Linked DNA regions of Arabidopsis thaliana. The protein of the gene in region 1 interacts with the protein of each later gene in a pairwise test. Each region holds a gene or a part of one and is shown in the gene's direction. Other genes may lie near its edges.

Region 1 (4,443 bases):
AGATTTAAACACTAGTTGTTGTTACTTTTGCATTGACAATTGATAATGCAAATTACCCGTTAATGTTTTTTCTTTTATGAATCAATGTAAAATTTATTCGAAAAACTCTTTGATTACAATATATGCAGCTTTAAGCAGAATGTTTTTTCTGAAAAAAAGTATTCCCATTAAGTGATCTTGTGTTATCATAAAAAATAAATAAAAGATAAGGTCATATGTCATCATAACCTGAGCCTAAAGGTAACGACTAACGACAACCGTGACATACTTTTTCATTAAGCACGTTACACGACGAGACTAGCGTAGTACGTGTCGAACTATCCTCATACGTGTTTGATTCACTGCTATAAATAGAACCAATAATAACGATGTTAATATTTGGTTCTTAATCAAGATATTGTGGACCGCTTGTCCATAATTCCCTCGGAAAACCAAAACAGGTATTATATTCAAGATTCGACCTCGTGATTTTGAGGTGCATTATTTTTTGTAGAAGATTTCCATCTTCTTTTTTTCACGGCTCTCAAAGGTTTCCTTGTACACAAGTTACACTACACTGAATAATTTTCTTTATTGCATCCTTTAAACAAACTTTTGTATATTATTTTGATATTGAAATCCACCATATATATGTCTTTTTTTCTCTGTCGCTTCCTATTTGATGCATGTGAATAATTTTCACTACTATATAACCAGTTTTCTAATCATTTTCTCCGTAGTAAAAGACAAAAGTAAATTAACGAAGCTCGTTATAATAATTTAGTACTTACCAAAAAACGTCCAAAAGTTGGAGATAACTCGTTTCCAAGATATTCTACACCTCTTCTTAAGTCTCTGATCCCCAAAGAATAATAATTATTTATACGAAAATATATATAAATATAACATACTGTACAATCCGCTGTCTCAGGACATCCAAAAAAATCATTTATATCAGTAACAAAAAAAACATATCGTGAATATTAAAAAATCATCAAATAAGTGATACCAATGAATTAGTTGTTAACCACAGTGATTTAAAAGACTGATATTTTAATTGATGAATCCTAGGAATGAAAAGTTGATAATTGTATGATCTAATCTCCAATTTCTTTCCTCTTTAAAGAGGTAAAATTGCCACATGGAACATTTAACACCATTCTGAATTTCTGATTCCAGGAACGTTGTCGTATCATATCTACTCGTGTAAGTCTTAGATCGATTTAGAACTTAGAAGAACAACACTTCTTGTTTTATCCTAATTAATACTATAATATATGCATGTAAAATCTTGTTTTTTCTATATCGGGTCAATGTGAATTGATATATTAGTTTGTGAGTGTGTCGGCTTCCGTAACTTACAGGAAGGGTTTTTACTTTTCTTTTTCAGATAATTAATGAAGAAGAAGAAAATACAACCAAATTTACACAAAAATAATGGCAAATTAAACTATTTTGGAACAACAACTCGCACTCTCTATTAGTCCTCCACGTAATGCATGCATGCGTTATTTCTTTTATTTCCTCGGAAAGCACGTACTAATCTTCCAACTTTCAATACTAATACTCGTTTTAATATGTGTCCAAGTAAACATTTTCTGTCCAAGTTCATTTTCAACTTTTGAGTTGTCAATGTTTCTATTTTTCCTCTTTATTTTTGACATTTGTCATTGTTTCCCTATATTAAATTTAAACGATAATAATTTGGTTCGGTTAATATAACGCTACTAAATATATATTTAGAAGAAAATTTAATTGTTTAATCATAATTCAGTTTATTCGACATTTTTATCCATAAGTATTATAATGTATAGTATTATTTTTAGAGATAATCATTAATCAGAGAATAAAATATAATTCTGGTCCATTTAACTTTTAACTATATATAAACCCAATGAAATGAAAACAAAAACACACAAAACACAAACACGCAAACCAAAAGAGATCAAACCAATAATCAAAATACTCCTCATTATATCAGAAAAAAAAAAAAAAATGGGATCTTCATCAAAGAACATCGAACAAGCTCAAGATTCTTATCTCGAGTGGATGAGTTTGCAATCTCAACGCATCCCTGAGCTCAAACAACTCTTAGCTCAACGACGATCTCACGGTGATGAAGATAATGATAACAAGCTTCGTAAGTTAACGGGAAAAATCATCGGTGATTTCAAAAATTACGCCGCAAAAAGAGCTGATCTTGCTCACCGATGTAGCTCGAACTATTATGCACCCACGTGGAACAGTCCTTTAGAGAACGCTCTAATTTGGATGGGTGGTTGTCGACCATCTTCTTTCTTTAGGCTCGTTTATGCTTTGTGTGGGTCACAAACTGAGATCCGTGTGACTCAGTTTCTCCGCAACATCGACGGCTACGAATCTTCAGGTAAGGGTTTGGACGTTTTCGGTTATTTCGGTTTTGAGGAATAAAAAAATAGACTAAATTTAATTTTTTGGTTCGGTAGTCAGTACGGTGCGGCAAAAAATTTTATTGTCTTCCTTCCGATTTCTAAAATTTATTTATTCTGTTCATTTTGCTTATGACAAAAATAATAGATTCTTAGGTTTTATATTAAGTTGGGTTCGGTTTGAATTTGGAATTTGTTCAGTTCTATATATTATACAAATATATTATTATTTTTAAATAAAATTAATCATAAAAAATGATTCCGAACCATAGATCTATACCAAAATTCTAATGGTTTCGGTTCGGTTGGTTCAATATGGTTTGGTTTGACAGGTGGTGGCGGCGGTGCATCACTTAGCGACTTAAGTGCGGAGCAGCTAGCTAAAATCAATGTGTTGCATGTAAAAATTATAGACGAAGAAGAGAAGATGACCAAGAAAGTCTCAAGCCTACAAGAAGACGCAGCGGATATTCCCATCGCCACTGTGGCTTACGAGATGGAGAATGTCGGAGAGCCTAACGTAGTGGTGGATCAAGCTCTCGACAAGCAAGAAGAAGCTATGGCTCGTTTATTGGTCGAGGCCGATAATCTAAGGGTTGATACTTTAGCGAAGATCCTCGGGATTCTATCTCCGGTACAAGGAGCGGATTTCTTGCTCGCTGGGAAAAAGCTTCATCTTTCGATGCATGAGTGGGGAACTATGAGAGATCGTCGCCGTCGTGACTGTATGGTTGACACCGAAGGTAATGCCGGAGGAGAGGAAGGAAAGTAGTCGTTATTATATTAGATATGATACTATAGGTACGTACGTGTCATATTTAAAATTGCATAATAACAAGGTTTTCAATCTTGATATTATAAAGTTATATATTTGGCATATATTCTAGGGATATATAACCCGTATGTGTGTTACTTTTATTTTCTGAAGACTTATGGTAGCAAGGTGCAATGCGTTATGTTAGTTTATATTATAAATAATTAAGATTTTGCTTTGTATAAGATGGATCTTTTGTTTTTTATTAAATGCAGAAATATAGTTTTATATATAATCTTATATAATAATTATTGTTTCGTTATAAGATTGTAGTTTGTAAGGATAAAAAATAACCTTTTTTTTGGTTAATGGATAAGAAATCATTTATAAGTTACATTTTGATGTTTTAAATTTTATCACTTATCGAAGATATATTTGAATTATTCTATTTTTTATAGTTTATTCACGTCGTGGCATTTTGCGAAATACAGTAATATTCGATGCATGTACAACTGTGAATAGTGGCCCACGCCCCACGGAGACGACAAATAATGAGAGAAATTGAGATTTGTGTGTTTACGTGGCAGCAACATGATCTCGTCTCGACAAGTCAGCTAGGAGATTTTTATCCAAGATTGCATTGGATTTTTATATTCTTAGATTTTTCCATTATTATTTTGTGTGGTAGGGAATATTCATAAAGAAAATTGTGGAGTATCTAAATAAATTGTTGGAAGCATCCTTTTTTTTTCATTGAACGCATCCTTTTTTTTTATGGACTTGGCAGATTTGGTAAAAATAAGAGTTCTAGTTTCGAAAATTCAACTGTATCTATATTAACTTAATTTATATCAAACTTAACTCATTAAACCTAACCAAGCTCTATACTTGAGATAAGATTCCACAACATTTCAAGTATTCATAGTGGTGAAATGTACTATAGGGTTAAAGTTTGGATCGCGATTAGTAAGCTCTTTAACTTTAAAATAACATTAAACCTAAGTAACCACTTCATGGTGGAATAATGTTTACATGATTCATTCTATAAATTGATTTGAGTCTCTTCAATGCGATTTGATAACTTAAAATATCTTAATCGCCAAGAATACTAGTTTTTCTACAGATAGCAAGAGATCAAATCTAATCATTCAAATGAAAATAACACTCTAAAACCTACAAAAACACTTCTTATAACTGTAAAAATATATTGCAATCTACCTAGATGACACAATTCTAGATGCCCCCATGAACATGATCAACTTTTCTATGTTTCATATTTATTTATTCCTCAGTGATTGCCTC
Region 2 (4,415 bases), on another chromosome or scaffold:
TAACTTCACTGCAACAGTAGTCGGTAAATATCCAAACATAAGAGCTACGATGGTAACACGTGTACGGTGGAGGAAAAGAGAGCCCTCAGATTCCGTTATAAAGGAGGTGAGACCCACTCGCCGGAATGGAAACAAAGGAGAAACGTAGAGGTAAATGGTTGGGCCACTGCTTCACCAAAAAGCCTTTTCTATCTTCTTTTTATTTTTGTTTTGTGGCTTTTAACGGTTAACAATATAACTCCTCATTCCAAGACAATTACGTGTCCTCTGTACGGCTTTTTCATTTTTCACTTTCTACTTCATAGTGACTTTAGGGAGGCCTCAATTTTTAATTACTCGAGGATTATTTAGGTAATCATGAATGTAACTACAGCTTTACAGGTAATTAAACAGATGAGATTTAGTTGCGTGAAATCTAGCTGATCTGGTGCTTATATCAAATCCAATTGATGGAGACAGATTTGGACTTAAATTCATGATTGTATTTGTAATCTTATATACGTTATAGTTAAATTTCTTTCTCTCCGTACGTACTCTAACTATAATTATTATTAAATGCTGAACGCAATGCTTTTGAGTGCTGAGAATCTTTTTGGTCTGATTCAAAAATGATGTATTAGTACTCTGAATTCAATCTTAACTTCTGCAACGAATCAATGTATTAATTTATAGGAGATCCGGATAAAATTATGGATATATGCACGCTACTTCTTTCATTTTTAATTAGGTAAATGGTTATAACTTTATTTTATATATCAATTAAATGATTTTGGTATGAGATTACTAGTACACTTTCTTTGCAAATGTTTTAAACACGACAAGACAAAAATATTACAAGCATATTTTGGTAAAAAATATCATAAGCTTTCATATCAAAATCATTAGTTATGATGTTAGATTTTTTTTTTTTTTTTTTAACACTACAAAAAGCTCTGGTCTTAATATGTTAGAAATTTTAGTCCAAACCAGCCTACAGAGGATTTAGCTAAACAATTCCCAAGCACCTTTTAAGTGTTAACCGAAATAACGTAATATGATGTTAAAGGTTACATAAAAACAAAACTAAAGAATTTTCATATGAAAAGTTAACGTACGTGTCTTAGTGTAACCTAATTTTAGTTCACAGTATATAAATTCTTTAATGAGATGATCGCAAAATCGCTGTATACAATTTCGTACTTAATTCGTTAGTCTTGAAAAGTTGACCTAATTTAGATCAAATTAAGGTTAACTACAATAAAAATTTAACTAACGTAATGGGATTCTTTAAAATTAAAAAATCGTTGATTAGATAGATATTTTATCTTTAAGGGAGACACAGAGACAATTTGGACAAAAAAGGTCTTCCTGAGAAAGAAGTGGACCACAATCGTGGCGCGAAAGGAACTTCCTCCTCCCCTCTGTTGCCTTGTCATTGGGCCACGTATATCTCCACCTGATCGTGATGCTTACGTGGTCCATTTCTAGATACTATAGTGACCAGATCAACGGTCAAGATTGATTCTAATTTAGACGAAAGACCAACACGTCACGTCGCTAGAGTAAAAGATTTTTTGAAGGCGGAGGGAGAAAAATCAAAAGTTAAAAGTAATTTGAAAACGAGGAAGAGAAAAAGGAATTTTAAAATGTTTAATGAAGCGGTAGGCCGCATGGGTATATAAATGGGCACGCTTTGTAACGTGTAACGATGATATTTATTCAACTGCGTGGTATAACCAAAAAAAAAAGAAACACTATTCGACTCTTTTTTTGTTTTTGTAATAAACATAAAATAAATTTTGGAGAGAGATATTTCGTCGGAAATTAATTGACGTTCAAAAGATTCGTTACCGGAATATTTAGTAGAGGCGGCGATCGAGTTATGGCGGATATTTGTTATGAAGACGAGACGTCGGCTTGTGAATCAAGACCGTTGTGGTCTAGCCGGAAGTGGAGGATCGGTGTCCAGCGATTCAGGATGTCTCCGTCGGAGATGAATCCCACGGCGTCGACGACGGAGGAGGAGGATAAATCTGAAGGGATTTATAATAAGCGAAATAAACAAGAAGAGTACGATTTTATGAACTGTGCATCGTCGTCACCTTCTCAAAGCTCTCCTGAAGAAGAGAGTGTATCACTTGAAGACAGTGACGTCTCTATCTCCGATGGAAATTCATCGGTTAATGATGTTGCAGTTATTCCGTCGAAGAAGACGGTTAAAGAGACGGATCTGAGGCCGAGATACGGCGTCGCATCGGTGTGCGGGAGAAGAAGAGATATGGAAGATGCGGTTGCGTTACATCCGTCTTTTGTACGGAAACAAACGGAGTTTTCTCGAACAAGATGGCACTATTTTGGTGTTTACGACGGCCATGGCTGTTCTCACGTACGACGCCGTTTTACCCTAATTTGAAAATTTCAAAATTATTGATATATTTACGGTTTTGCCTGATTGAAATATACGATGTCGTTTTTGTAGGTTGCGGCTAGGTGTAAAGAGAGACTTCACGAGTTAGTGCAAGAAGAAGCGTTGTCGGATAAGAAAGAAGAATGGAAGAAGATGATGGAGCGTAGCTTCACACGTATGGACAAAGAGGTTGTTCGTTGGGGTGAAACTGTGATGAGTGCTAATTGTAGGTGTGAGCTTCAAACGCCGGACTGTGACGCTGTTGGATCCACCGCCGTTGTCTCCGTCATTACGCCGGAGAAGATCATTGTTGCGAATTGCGGTGACTCAAGAGCAGTTCTTTGTAGGAATGGTAAAGCAGTACCTCTTTCTACAGATCATAAGGTCAGTCTTTATCTCTTTCTAACTCTTTCTTGATTTGTTTGATTTAGTGGATTTTAACTCTTGTTTACGTTTGAAAATGAACAGCCTGATCGTCCGGATGAGCTGGATCGAATCCAAGAAGCAGGAGGACGAGTGATATACTGGGACGGTGCAAGAGTCTTAGGCGTTTTAGCCATGTCACGAGCCATAGGAGACAATTATTTAAAACCGTACGTCACTTCGGAGCCGGAAGTGACGGTTACGGATCGGACTGAGGAAGATGAGTTTCTGATTCTAGCGACGGACGGGCTATGGGACGTAGTGACGAACGAGGCAGCGTGTACGATGGTGCGCATGTGTCTCAACAGAAAAAGTGGTCGTGGAAGACGGCGAGGAGAAACACAGACTCCGGGGAGGAGGAGTGAAGAAGAAGGGAAAGAAGAAGAGGAGAAGGTGGTGGGGTCAAGAAAGAACGGGAAGAGAGGAGAGATCACGGACAAAGCATGTACGGAGGCGTCAGTATTGCTGACGAAGCTGGCGTTGGCAAAACACAGTAGTGACAACGTAAGCGTCGTCGTTATTGATCTCAGAAGAAGAAGAAAGAGACACGTTGCTTGACACTAATCTCCTCATCACTCTTACTCCACCGTTTTTTGTGTTGTTTAAAATGATTCTTTTACCTTGGGACGAAGGTAGCTCAAATCTTTGAACCCAAAAGAGAGAAAAAAAAAGCATTAGGTCTAAAAAAAAAACCCCGGTTTACTGAAAGCGGTTAAACCGGGTATGGTTGGGTCTTTTTTGTTCTGAACCTTTTTTTCTTGCCTTTTTTCGGTGTGTAATGAACAAACAGAAAAGGAAGCCGGAATGTGTCACTGTCTAGGTGGAATCAGTTCAGAATTCAATTAATAAAAAAGTATGTATATGTTTTCTTGGCTTTTAAAGCAAACCAATTAACTCGGATACGCGTGGTGATCTTTGAGAACATCACCGGGAATTTTCAGTTTGTTGATAAAGATTTTAAAATCTCTATAAACGAGTGGGCCTTTTTGGTGTTGGAAGAAATTCAAAATCTCACGGAAACGAAAAGAGAGAGAAGATAATTGGGAAGAGGACGGAGTACGTGTCGAAGAGGTAAAAGTAGAAACCCTACACCACGTAAAGAGGATGTGACACACCGGAACGATGCATATGTTAATATGCGCATTCGTACGTGTCGGTGTCGGTGTCGGGTAATTGATTGAGATCTGAATATGAACCTAATCAGACTGTTTTATCTAAACATGATCACTGGTCTGATGGAAAATCAAAATTAACTTACCTGTCATGTAATGTAAGAATTTTATTAAGAAGGAAAATCGAACCAACACTCCCAAAGCATTTGGGCCGAGAATTTTGGGGTATTATATTTTCATCTGAATCCTATAAGGCTATAACCTACCCAAAAATTTGGTAGCGCAACATCTAAACTTGATACAGAAAAATGAGACAAGGATATATTAAGCTTCAAATAGATGACCCATACAAAATGTTTTAATTGCCCAACCTAAACACATACTGAGTTGAAGTACCATATGTTTTTTCAAATAGGCCACACGAGCAGCAATTCTAGTCAGACATAATAAACTAAGACACATGAGCGTTGCAGCAACCTGAAAGCAAAATGTTA
Region 3 (4,638 bases), 2.4 Mb from region 1:
ACCTATTTTCTTTGTTGTTCTCCGATTCTTTATAGTTTTCAGTCATATTTGGTGATCAAATTAACTGACTTTAGTGCCATAGAGTCTTCAGAAAAATTTATTGGTGTTTCCATGCATGCTTCTACACATTAGTTTCTTTTTGCAGGAGATTTGGACCCCACACAAAGTATTTTCACTACAAACACTATTCTTTCTCATTATTTTCCAACTTTTTCTGAATTGATCATAGGATTTTTGGTAAGCAACTTCCCTTCATATAGTAATTCTAACCACACGCAAAATTATTAAACCAAATTTCCGCAAGAAGATCATAAAAAACTGAATAAACAATTTAAACAAACATTGATGTACGAAGATAACATTTCTATCATATATGGTTTATATATAATAACCTACTAAAACAGCCAGGGATTGAAATTAAGCTCACTAGTTTTTATTTTCTTCACATAAAAAAAAAAACAAAATCACTATATCGGCAAGTTAAGTTTTCAATCATTAAAACCTAAAACTAACCACCCAACCCACCAATGATTAAAACTATATCCCAGTCCCAACTAATCACAAATTTAAGGTAAAGTGTGTTTGAATCATTTTTTAAGAATTTTAGACAAGCTTTTTCATTATTATCTTCCTTTTAGATAACTTACACATTTATATTAGCTTAATATTTTGTTTGTTTTAGTTTTTAGCTAAACCATATCATTCATGTAGAGAGAACCACCCTAACTGTTATGATCTATTCGACTCGTATTAATTCTCATCAATATAGCAAAATATTAGGATTGATCGATCCACATATTTCAGTTCACCCACTTTAATATATTTCAAAGACAGTTTGTAAACATTTATTACGGTTTTCGTAGATCTTGAGTATTTGAATAAATAATGATATGATTCTTTGTATCTTGTACAGTTGCTTATTTGAGTAGACATTAATTACAAATCAAATCTGTTAGCATAAAATATACATATATCGCCGTTTTTCTTCATTTGTAGGAAACCAAATAAAGAATAAAAGGCATATGGCACTGATGGACTAAACTGGCATAACTATGCTACGTGTTTAATTGGTACAAGTCGCTCAACCTGAGGAATCGAGAAGTTGTAGATGATCACTATGTGACATGTGTTGCACCGAAAAAGAGTGACTAGTGACGATTGACGATTCGTCAACCTTTTTCTCCGAAGATATCTCCAACGTTATGGTTAATCCCATGATTTGGTTTAAGTATACTTACCGTTCAGGTTTTATAGAAAATACTACTCGAGATTTGGAACGATCAGTAAATGTTATTCCAGATTTAATATAGTAGAAATTGTTTGTTTTCACTTTTCAAAAAGATGGTTTTCAAAATTTAATTCTTTTTAAAAATAAGAAAATTGATATAAACCTTTTCAATATTGTTACATTTATAGTCATTGTTTTGACATTAATGTTTTCATATTGAAAGCAAAAGGAAACAAGATGCAATATTTCGTATATCATGAGTTTTTCATTTTCTATAATATTTGATGAATTAGTCCAGAACCAGCCTGATCCTTGTAGTTCACATGGTTTGAGAGATCAGCTCCGGCTCATGGGTTCAAATTCAAGCAAGGAGAAGAAGAAAGGAGTTAAGACACAAGAGCCTAGCTAAACGACTATCGTCATGAACCCAAAACCGGATGCGGTTTAACAAAAACCGAAGGCGTCTCCACGTGGACAACAACTTAACACCTGAGCCTAACACGCGAATACATCGAAACACCGACACGTGTTCTGTCTTCCTCGTAAGCTTCTTTATGTTCAAAGTGTTCTCTCTTTCTCTCGGCCCCATGTATATAAAGCGGTGCTCTCTTGATCCACCGAAACGAATTTTGAAAAGATGACTGAAATCTACAGAACAATTTCAACCGGACGTGGAGACGACGTTTCTCCGACTAAATGCCGTGAACGTCGTCGTCGGAGAATTGAGATGCGGAGACAAGCGGCGGTTTTCGGCGAACCTAGTTCGTCTAGGAATCGTGATCGGACGGACATGGAAGTTTACTCAAGTTTTGACGTTCCATTGAGGAAACAAGCTCGGAGGTCAGAGATCGGTGGTCTTCCGGCGGATATCGGGGGCTTTTTGGCACCTCCGGCGGCATCTTCTTGCCAAAAATCGGAAGCGCCGGTGTGGAAGGGAGAAGAAACGGAGGATGAGCCGTTGTACGGTATAGTTTCGGTTATGGGAAGATCTCGTAAGATGGAGGATTCGGTTACTGTTAAACCGAATTTGTGCAAACCGGAAGTTAACCGGCAAAGACCGGTTCATTTCTTTGCGGTATACGATGGCCACGGCGGTTCTCAGGTAAGAAAATTAACCAGGGGTGGTTTGGTCATTTAATATAAAGATGCTGATGTGATGCGTGGACAGGTGTCAACATTGTGCAGCACGACTATGCACACGTTTGTCAAGGAGGAGCTAGAGCAAAACCTCGAAGAGGAGGAAGAAGGAAGCGAAAACGATGTCGTGGAGAGGAAATGGCGGGGCGTGATGAAACGGAGTTTCAAGAGGATGGATGAGATGGCAACGAGTACATGCGTGTGTGGGACTAGTGTGCCGTTGTGTAACTGTGATCCGAGGGAGGCTGCGATTTCGGGTTCAACGGCGGTCACTGCGGTTTTGACGCACGATCATATTATTGTAGCCAATACTGGTGACTCACGTGCGGTGTTGTGTCGAAATGGAATGGCTATTCCTCTGAGTAACGATCACAAGGTGGTGTTCTTGTAAAGGTTTGAGAATATTGGAGTTTCTATTTTGAAGTTGTTGAGTTTTTTGCAGCCGGATAGACCAGACGAGCGTGCGAGGATTGAAGCAGCTGGTGGTCGAGTTTTAGTAGTGGATGGAGCTAGAGTTGAAGGAATTCTAGCCACGTCCAGAGCCATAGGTATACCTTTCTCAATTCTCATATTGTAGTAAAAGATGATTTTAGTTGATAGTGTTGAAGATGGCAAGGAACTAGAGCCTATAAGGGCAATAATAATCATTTCGGATTTGGGGTTTAGGGTTTTAAGTTTACTAACTAAGGTACTATGGATTGGTTTCATTTGGTGCGAGTTCTTTTGTTGATTAATTCTAATTCTATTTTCAAAGATGTTTTATAATTGTTCCTTTAAAAAAAAAATATGTAAATTTTACTCTCTTTTTTTTGTCAAAATGTTAACTAGAAATTTTACATTGGTCCTAATAGTTTAACATTTGACAAAAAAAAAAAAAAACAAAAAAAATTATATTTGCAGCATTAACTAGAAAACAAAAATAATTGAATCATTTTACGAAAATAAAAAATGTGGGCATTCATACAAACCATCTCATGGATTAGAACGGGAGAAGTATTTTTCTTAACTTCAAAAGTATTTAAATGTGTCTTATCTTTGTATCTTTCATTGTTTGATCATTTAACCAACTTAAAATTTATTTCGGTTATACAATTTATTAGACTAAACATGAAGTTTTAGTATGGAAATTGTTCCTAATGTTGTGTTACAATTCATGGAGCAGGGGACAGGTATCTAAAACCAATGGTAGCATGGGAACCAGAAGTAACATTCATGAGAAGGGAATCTGGAGATGAATGCTTAGTATTAGCAAGCGATGGGCTTTGGGATGTACTCTCGAGTCAGCTAGCTTGTGACATAGCTAGGTTTTGTCTCCGCGAAGAAACTCCCTCGAGCCTTGATTTAAATAGAATGGCTCAAGAAGACGACAATGACGGAGAACAAAATCCTTCAAGGAGTGTATTGGCTGCAACGTTGCTAACGCGGTTGGCTTTGGGTAGACAAAGCAGTGATAATATAAGTGTGGTCGTCATTGATCTCAAGAATAGCTCTCAGTAAAACTAGTTTTGGATCCTTTTTTTGGTGGTTGTGCAATTAAGTGGTTAAACCAAAGAATAAGATGTTGATATAGCGATGAGCCTTAATTAGTTTTAGGGTTTAGCGCCCGTCTTTGTTTTGTTATGAATTGGGGTTACCAATACACATTAACACCGGCGAATGTGAAAGGAAAAGAGAGTTGTTTGGATATGGGCTACAAGGTTATTTAGTGGTTTGGCCATGGGCTATTAAGGGTATTTAGTGGTTTAAACAATAAAATAAAAGTTAACTTGAGAGAATTTGTTCTCTAATTTTGTTTGTTGTATGTGTGTGATCATTTTGAAGTTATTGATCGTTTAGCTATTTAGGTGGTATGTGTGAAATAAATAGATAAAATAAAAACGTAGTACTGCTTTGGTTTTGTTCGTTGTAGTTCATTAGACGCCGGTCTTGGTCTTTTATATTTTTTTGATGGACTGATCATTTCCAATGGTTAAAGTCATCTCTGTCTACAAATACTTACATTTTGGTACAACCTGAATGAAGTGAATTTAAGGCTGAGATTTTGAACCAGCCCTAACCCTACTCAACCGTGCAGTTTTATATTTGGTTCAACAATGCTATATAGGCTTTTGGGCCAATTACCAGATTGTCTTTACTCTTTAGGCTTTAAAGGAAAAAAAAAAGAGATGTGCAAAAGAATCAAAGAGAACAATTCAAGAAAGAGAGACAAAAAGACAACTCTTATAGTTCGATGGAAATGGAACAATTCGAACAGGTTTGACGAATACAGAGTT
Region 4 (4,570 bases), about 17 Mb from region 1:
TTCATCGCTTTGCGAGAGGATATCATGGGCTTCACATACCCTACTTTCGACCTCAGAAAGCCATTGTTGGACTTCATCCAATAGGTTTAGACCTCTATCTTCTTGTACCTTAATCCTTTTCAACAAATCATCTCGTCTTGCCTCCAACTGTCGTACAGTTTTCTTTAGAGCCGCTACATGATCTACGAGGTTGCGGAAGCGATTTTGGTTCCTGCTAAGGCAGCTTGTAAGGTTATTAACAGCCTGGTCACAGGATATTGCCACAGAGAAGCAGGCTCCCATCTCTCATAGATTCTCAAATTCCTACCAGAGAGATTAATATACAAATTCCTTTCCTAATGTTTTAGTTTATTAACTGAGGTGTGTGCACGATCATTCGGGTTGACCACCAATCTTGGCATCCAGTCATCTACGACTCGATCAAATATTTATGTTATTTTAAAAATGAACTGTAACCAAGATAACATTTTTTTCATAAGGTCAACGACCCTTGGGATGTTAACAGAGCCAAGTTTAGTGAGCACTATGTGCTCGTTTTTTCTTAACACAATTCTAACGTGGTTTGGCCAAGCCAAGTCAACATTTTACTTACATCTCGTTTTCCAATAATGGTTTTGTAATCGATAACCTAAATCATTGTAATGAATGCGTTCCTCCCTATCGATCCTAGGCCTTAGACAATGCTGAATGATTCATAGCCACGCGAATAACCTATTCATACTAATATGGAAAGAAAGAAGCCAAACTTACAGAGCTCTTCTCACGGTCGTCGAAGAAAAGAGAGTCTACAGTCAGCAACAAAATTAGTGTTGCCATCATGGCATCATCTTGCAGCTTTTTCCGCACAAATAATTTATCATCCAAATGTTGTTCACTAAACCAAAAACAAACAAGCATTACAGCGAAGAAACCAACTCGTAGATACAGATTTCCAAATTCATGCCTTATTTAGACCAATAAAAACTGAAATTTCTCTTCAGCGAAAAAAAAAACAAACAAACTGAAATTTCATATAGATCCAGAAGATAGAAACTTGTAGGCTCAATCGACTAGACTAGAAGATGCTCACCCGATCGTGCTTGAGATAGCGAGATAGTAGCAACACCGACGGTAGAAATAAAATGGACGACACCCATCCAATGGGCTAATTTAGATTAACGGGCTTTAAGGGTTTGATAATGGATGTTAATTAACTGAGGCACATGGGATTGTATCACGTAGGCAATGGGTTTGATAATGGATGTTAAGTAACTAAGGCCCATGAGGTTGAAGTACGTAGGCAATTGCGTGAGCTTACGTTAGCGATGCCGTTAGAGACACGTAGTGGATGAAGTGGCTTTGGTTAGCAAAGGACACATGAGGCACATGCAAAGGCTATAAATGACTGCTGCTTTGCTACAACTTGCGATTCCCAAATTTTATAAGGTAATGGACCCTATCACCTCTGCTCGAAGCTAAGCCACCCAAGTTTGAGCTTCACCATTTGACACGTCTCTAGCTAATACTTAATGCTTAAACTTTAAACTAATACTTCATGTTTAAGACATTTCTGGCTGACACATTTATGAATTCGCTCTATGTCGTACGTACACCGGAAACCTTTAATTTTACAATATTAACCGTGATCTTTTTAAAAATATCTATATAAACGATAAGTATCTCATCAAAACAAAATTGAATAATGTGCACGTTTGTAAAAACTAGAAAAACAGGCAATAAACATCATCATCCAATTACACATCTAGTAAGTGTGATGCAGTGGCAAACTGGCAATAAACCAAGAAAAATCGAGAAAGAGCAGATGAGACAGTGTTGTGTTGTCAGGGTTAATAAAAAAAAAATGAAGATATTTTAAAATTTCATAATATTTAAATAATGAAGTAGTTTTATGATCTTATCCATAAATCAATTTTAAAAAGGTTTAAACTTTACTTTTCCGTATCAACAGCGTGTTTCGAGAAGATTCGGGAGGACACTCGTCGAACGGAAAAGTCGTCTAAGCCTTTATGTTCGAATCAAAAACTGACACGTAACCTTGCTCTCAAACAGAAAAATAAAATAATGTTAGAAAAATCTAGAGAAGGCTATAAATACTCCGTAGATACTTTGTCTTCCTTAGATATTTTGATTTCTGCTAAAGCTGTCTGATAAAAAGAAGAGGAAAACTCGAAAAAGCTACACACAAGAAGAAGAAGAAAAGATACGAGCAAGAAGACTAAACACGAAAGCGATTTATCAACTCGAAGGAAGAGACTTTGATTTTCAAATTTCGTCCCCTATAGGTACGTTGATTTCTGATTTCTTACAAATTTTCAATTAATTTCTCTGATTAGGTCTCGTCAATTGGTGATTCTAGGGTTTATCTTCGTCTTTAGGTTTTCGATTATTTCCTTTTAGGTATAGCTGTGAAATTGGGAAATTTTAGGTGTTCCTAATTTGATAACAAATAAGTAAATCGATCTGATTTTGAACCAAGTTTAAGTTCTCTTGCCTTATGTTTCAGCTTGTGTTCTGATATTGAAGTGTTGTTGTATTGTAGATTGTGTTGTTTCTGGGAAGGAGATGGCAGTTTATGATCAGAGTGGAGATAGAAACAGAACACAAATTGATACATCGAGGAAAAGGAAATCTAGAAGTAGAGGTGACGGTACTACTGTGGCTGAGAGATTAAAGAGATGGAAAGAGTATAACGAGACCGTAGAAGAAGTTTCTACCAAGAAGAGGAAAGTACCTGCGAAAGGGTCGAAGAAGGGTTGTATGAAAGGTAAAGGAGGACCAGAGAATAGCCGATGTAGTTTCAGAGGAGTTAGGCAAAGGATTTGGGGTAAATGGGTTGCTGAGATCAGAGAGCCTAATCGAGGTAGCAGGCTTTGGCTTGGTACTTTCCCTACTGCTCAAGAAGCTGCTTCTGCTTATGATGAGGCTGCTAAAGCTATGTATGGTCCTTTGGCTCGTCTTAATTTCCCTCGGTCTGATGCGTCTGAGGTTACGAGTACCTCAAGTCAGTCTGAGGTGTGTACTGTTGAGACTCCTGGTTGTGTTCATGTGAAAACAGAGGATCCAGATTGTGAATCTAAACCCTTCTCCGGTGGAGTGGAGCCGATGTATTGTCTGGAGAATGGTGCGGAAGAGATGAAGAGAGGTGTTAAAGCGGATAAGCATTGGCTGAGCGAGTTTGAACATAACTATTGGAGTGATATTCTGAAAGAGAAAGAGAAACAGAAGGAGCAAGGGATTGTAGAAACCTGTCAGCAACAACAGCAGGATTCGCTATCTGTTGCAGACTATGGTTGGCCCAATGATGTGGATCAGAGTCACTTGGATTCTTCAGACATGTTTGATGTCGATGAGCTTCTACGTGACCTAAATGGCGACGATGTGTTTGCAGGCTTAAATCAGGACCGGTACCCGGGGAACAGTGTTGCCAACGGTTCATACAGGCCCGAGAGTCAACAAAGTGGTTTTGATCCGCTACAAAGCCTCAACTACGGAATACCTCCGTTTCAGCTCGAGGGAAAGGATGGTAATGGATTCTTCGACGACTTGAGTTACTTGGATCTGGAGAACTAAACAAAACAATATGAAGCTTTTTGGATTTGATATTTGCCTTAATCCCACAACGACTGTTGATTCTCTATCCGAGTTTTAGTGATATAGAGAACTACAGAACACGTTTTTTCTTGTTATAAAGGTGAACTGTATATATCGAAACAGTGATATGACAATAGAGAAGACAACTATAGTTTGTTAGTCTGCTTCTCTTAAGTTGTTCTTTAGATATGTTTTATGTTTTGTAACAACAGGAATGAATAATACACACTTGTGAAGCTTTATGGGCCTTAGTGTGTCTCACAATATTTGAAATCGTAAGAGGAAAAACTATACGATCTCCACAAAAAAACTCATCATTGGATTGAGTCTTAGGAAGTTCTCTAGGGATTAGAGGGCAGCTTTATTTAACATTAAGCAGCTCGACATCAAAGACCAGCCAAGAGTCAGGGGGAATGCTACCAGCACCTTCCGCACCATACCTGTGAGCCAGACAATTTTATCATCTCTCATTAAAAAAAGCTTAAAATAAAACATCACATTATGGAAAAATAAAAAAAGATTTGCAAAGGCTTTACCCCATTTCTGGAGGAATTGTAAGCTTTCTTTTGCCACCAACAAGCATTCCTTTAGAAATTTACAAAAAGAGATCAAAACAACACACCATTTGACCATATTTAGTGAAGAAAAACCAGTAAGAAACTAGCTAGGTTACCATTAAGGCCAACATCCAATCCCTTAATGACTTTTCCAGCATCTGTATGTGTAACAGCAAGCACATAAGTATCCAAGTACCACTCACACATTAATAAAGCTCTTACTTTCGCATCAAGTTATAATACCAACCTAGACGAAACTTATAACGTGATTTTCCAACGGTGGAATCGAAAATCTTCCCATTCCCCTGAAGCTTTCCAGTATAATGGACACTTACCTGCACTCAGAGACAATAGACTGACCTCCAACAAATATTTGCACACAAACTACAACAGTTTAGGACTAAATGCTCATACCCTTTTGC

The links.
Region 2: the proteins of DOG1 (region 1) and HAI2 interact in binary tests that used the Arabidopsis thaliana proteins (3 or more experiments, as listed by UniProt).
Region 3: the proteins of DOG1 (region 1) and AHG1 interact in binary tests that used the Arabidopsis thaliana proteins (3 or more experiments, as listed by UniProt).
Region 4: the proteins of DOG1 (region 1) and DREB2A interact in binary tests that used the Arabidopsis thaliana proteins (3 or more experiments, as listed by UniProt).

Annotation. Positions count from the first base shown.
Region 1 is NC_003076.8:18,588,932-18,593,374, reverse strand, and holds DOG1 (delay of germination 1), read left to right. Parts: upstream 1-1,868; 5' UTR 1,869-1,878; coding exon 1,879-2,365; intron 2,366-2,719; coding exon 2,720-3,130; coding exon of another isoform or gene 3,131-3,159; exon of another isoform or gene 3,160-3,632; coding exon 3,633-3,706; 3' UTR 3,707-3,937; downstream 3,938-4,443.
Region 2 is NC_003070.9:2,280,103-2,284,517, reverse strand, and holds HAI2 (highly ABA-induced PP2C protein 2), read left to right. Parts: upstream 1-1,689; 5' UTR 1,690-1,861; coding exon 1,862-2,365; intron 2,366-2,458; coding exon 2,459-2,770; intron 2,771-2,854; coding exon 2,855-3,367; 3' UTR 3,368-3,772; downstream 3,773-4,415. UniProt on the Arabidopsis thaliana protein: Involved in the negative regulation of the K(+) potassium channel AKT1 by its dephosphorylation, antagonistically to CIPK proteins (e.g. CIPK23). Functions as a positive regulator of abscisic acid-mediated cell signaling during seedling growth.
Region 3 is NC_003076.8:21,025,051-21,029,688, forward strand, and holds AHG1 (Protein phosphatase 2C family protein), read left to right. Parts: upstream 1-1,824; 5' UTR 1,825-1,865; coding exon 1,866-2,330; intron 2,331-2,396; coding exon 2,397-2,741; intron 2,742-2,807; coding exon 2,808-2,913; intron 2,914-3,527; coding exon 3,528-3,862; 3' UTR 3,863-4,138; downstream 4,139-4,638. UniProt on the Arabidopsis thaliana protein: Negative regulator of abscisic acid (ABA) responses during seed germination.
Region 4 is NC_003076.8:1,600,088-1,604,657, forward strand, and holds DREB2A (DRE-binding protein 2A), read left to right. Parts: upstream 1-2,117; 5' UTR 2,118-2,282; intron 2,283-2,539; 5' UTR 2,540-2,562; coding exon 2,563-3,570; 3' UTR 3,571-3,952; downstream 3,953-4,570. Other genes in the region: AT5G05400 (LRR and NB-ARC domains-containing disease resistance protein), read right to left, coding at 1-282; AT5G05420 (FKBP-like peptidyl-prolyl cis-trans isomerase family protein), read right to left, coding at 3,953-4,031, 4,128-4,176, 4,265-4,306, 4,396-4,483, 4,563-4,570. UniProt on the Arabidopsis thaliana protein: Transcriptional activator that binds specifically to the DNA sequence 5'-[AG]CCGAC-3'. Binding to the C-repeat/DRE element mediates high salinity- and dehydration-inducible transcription.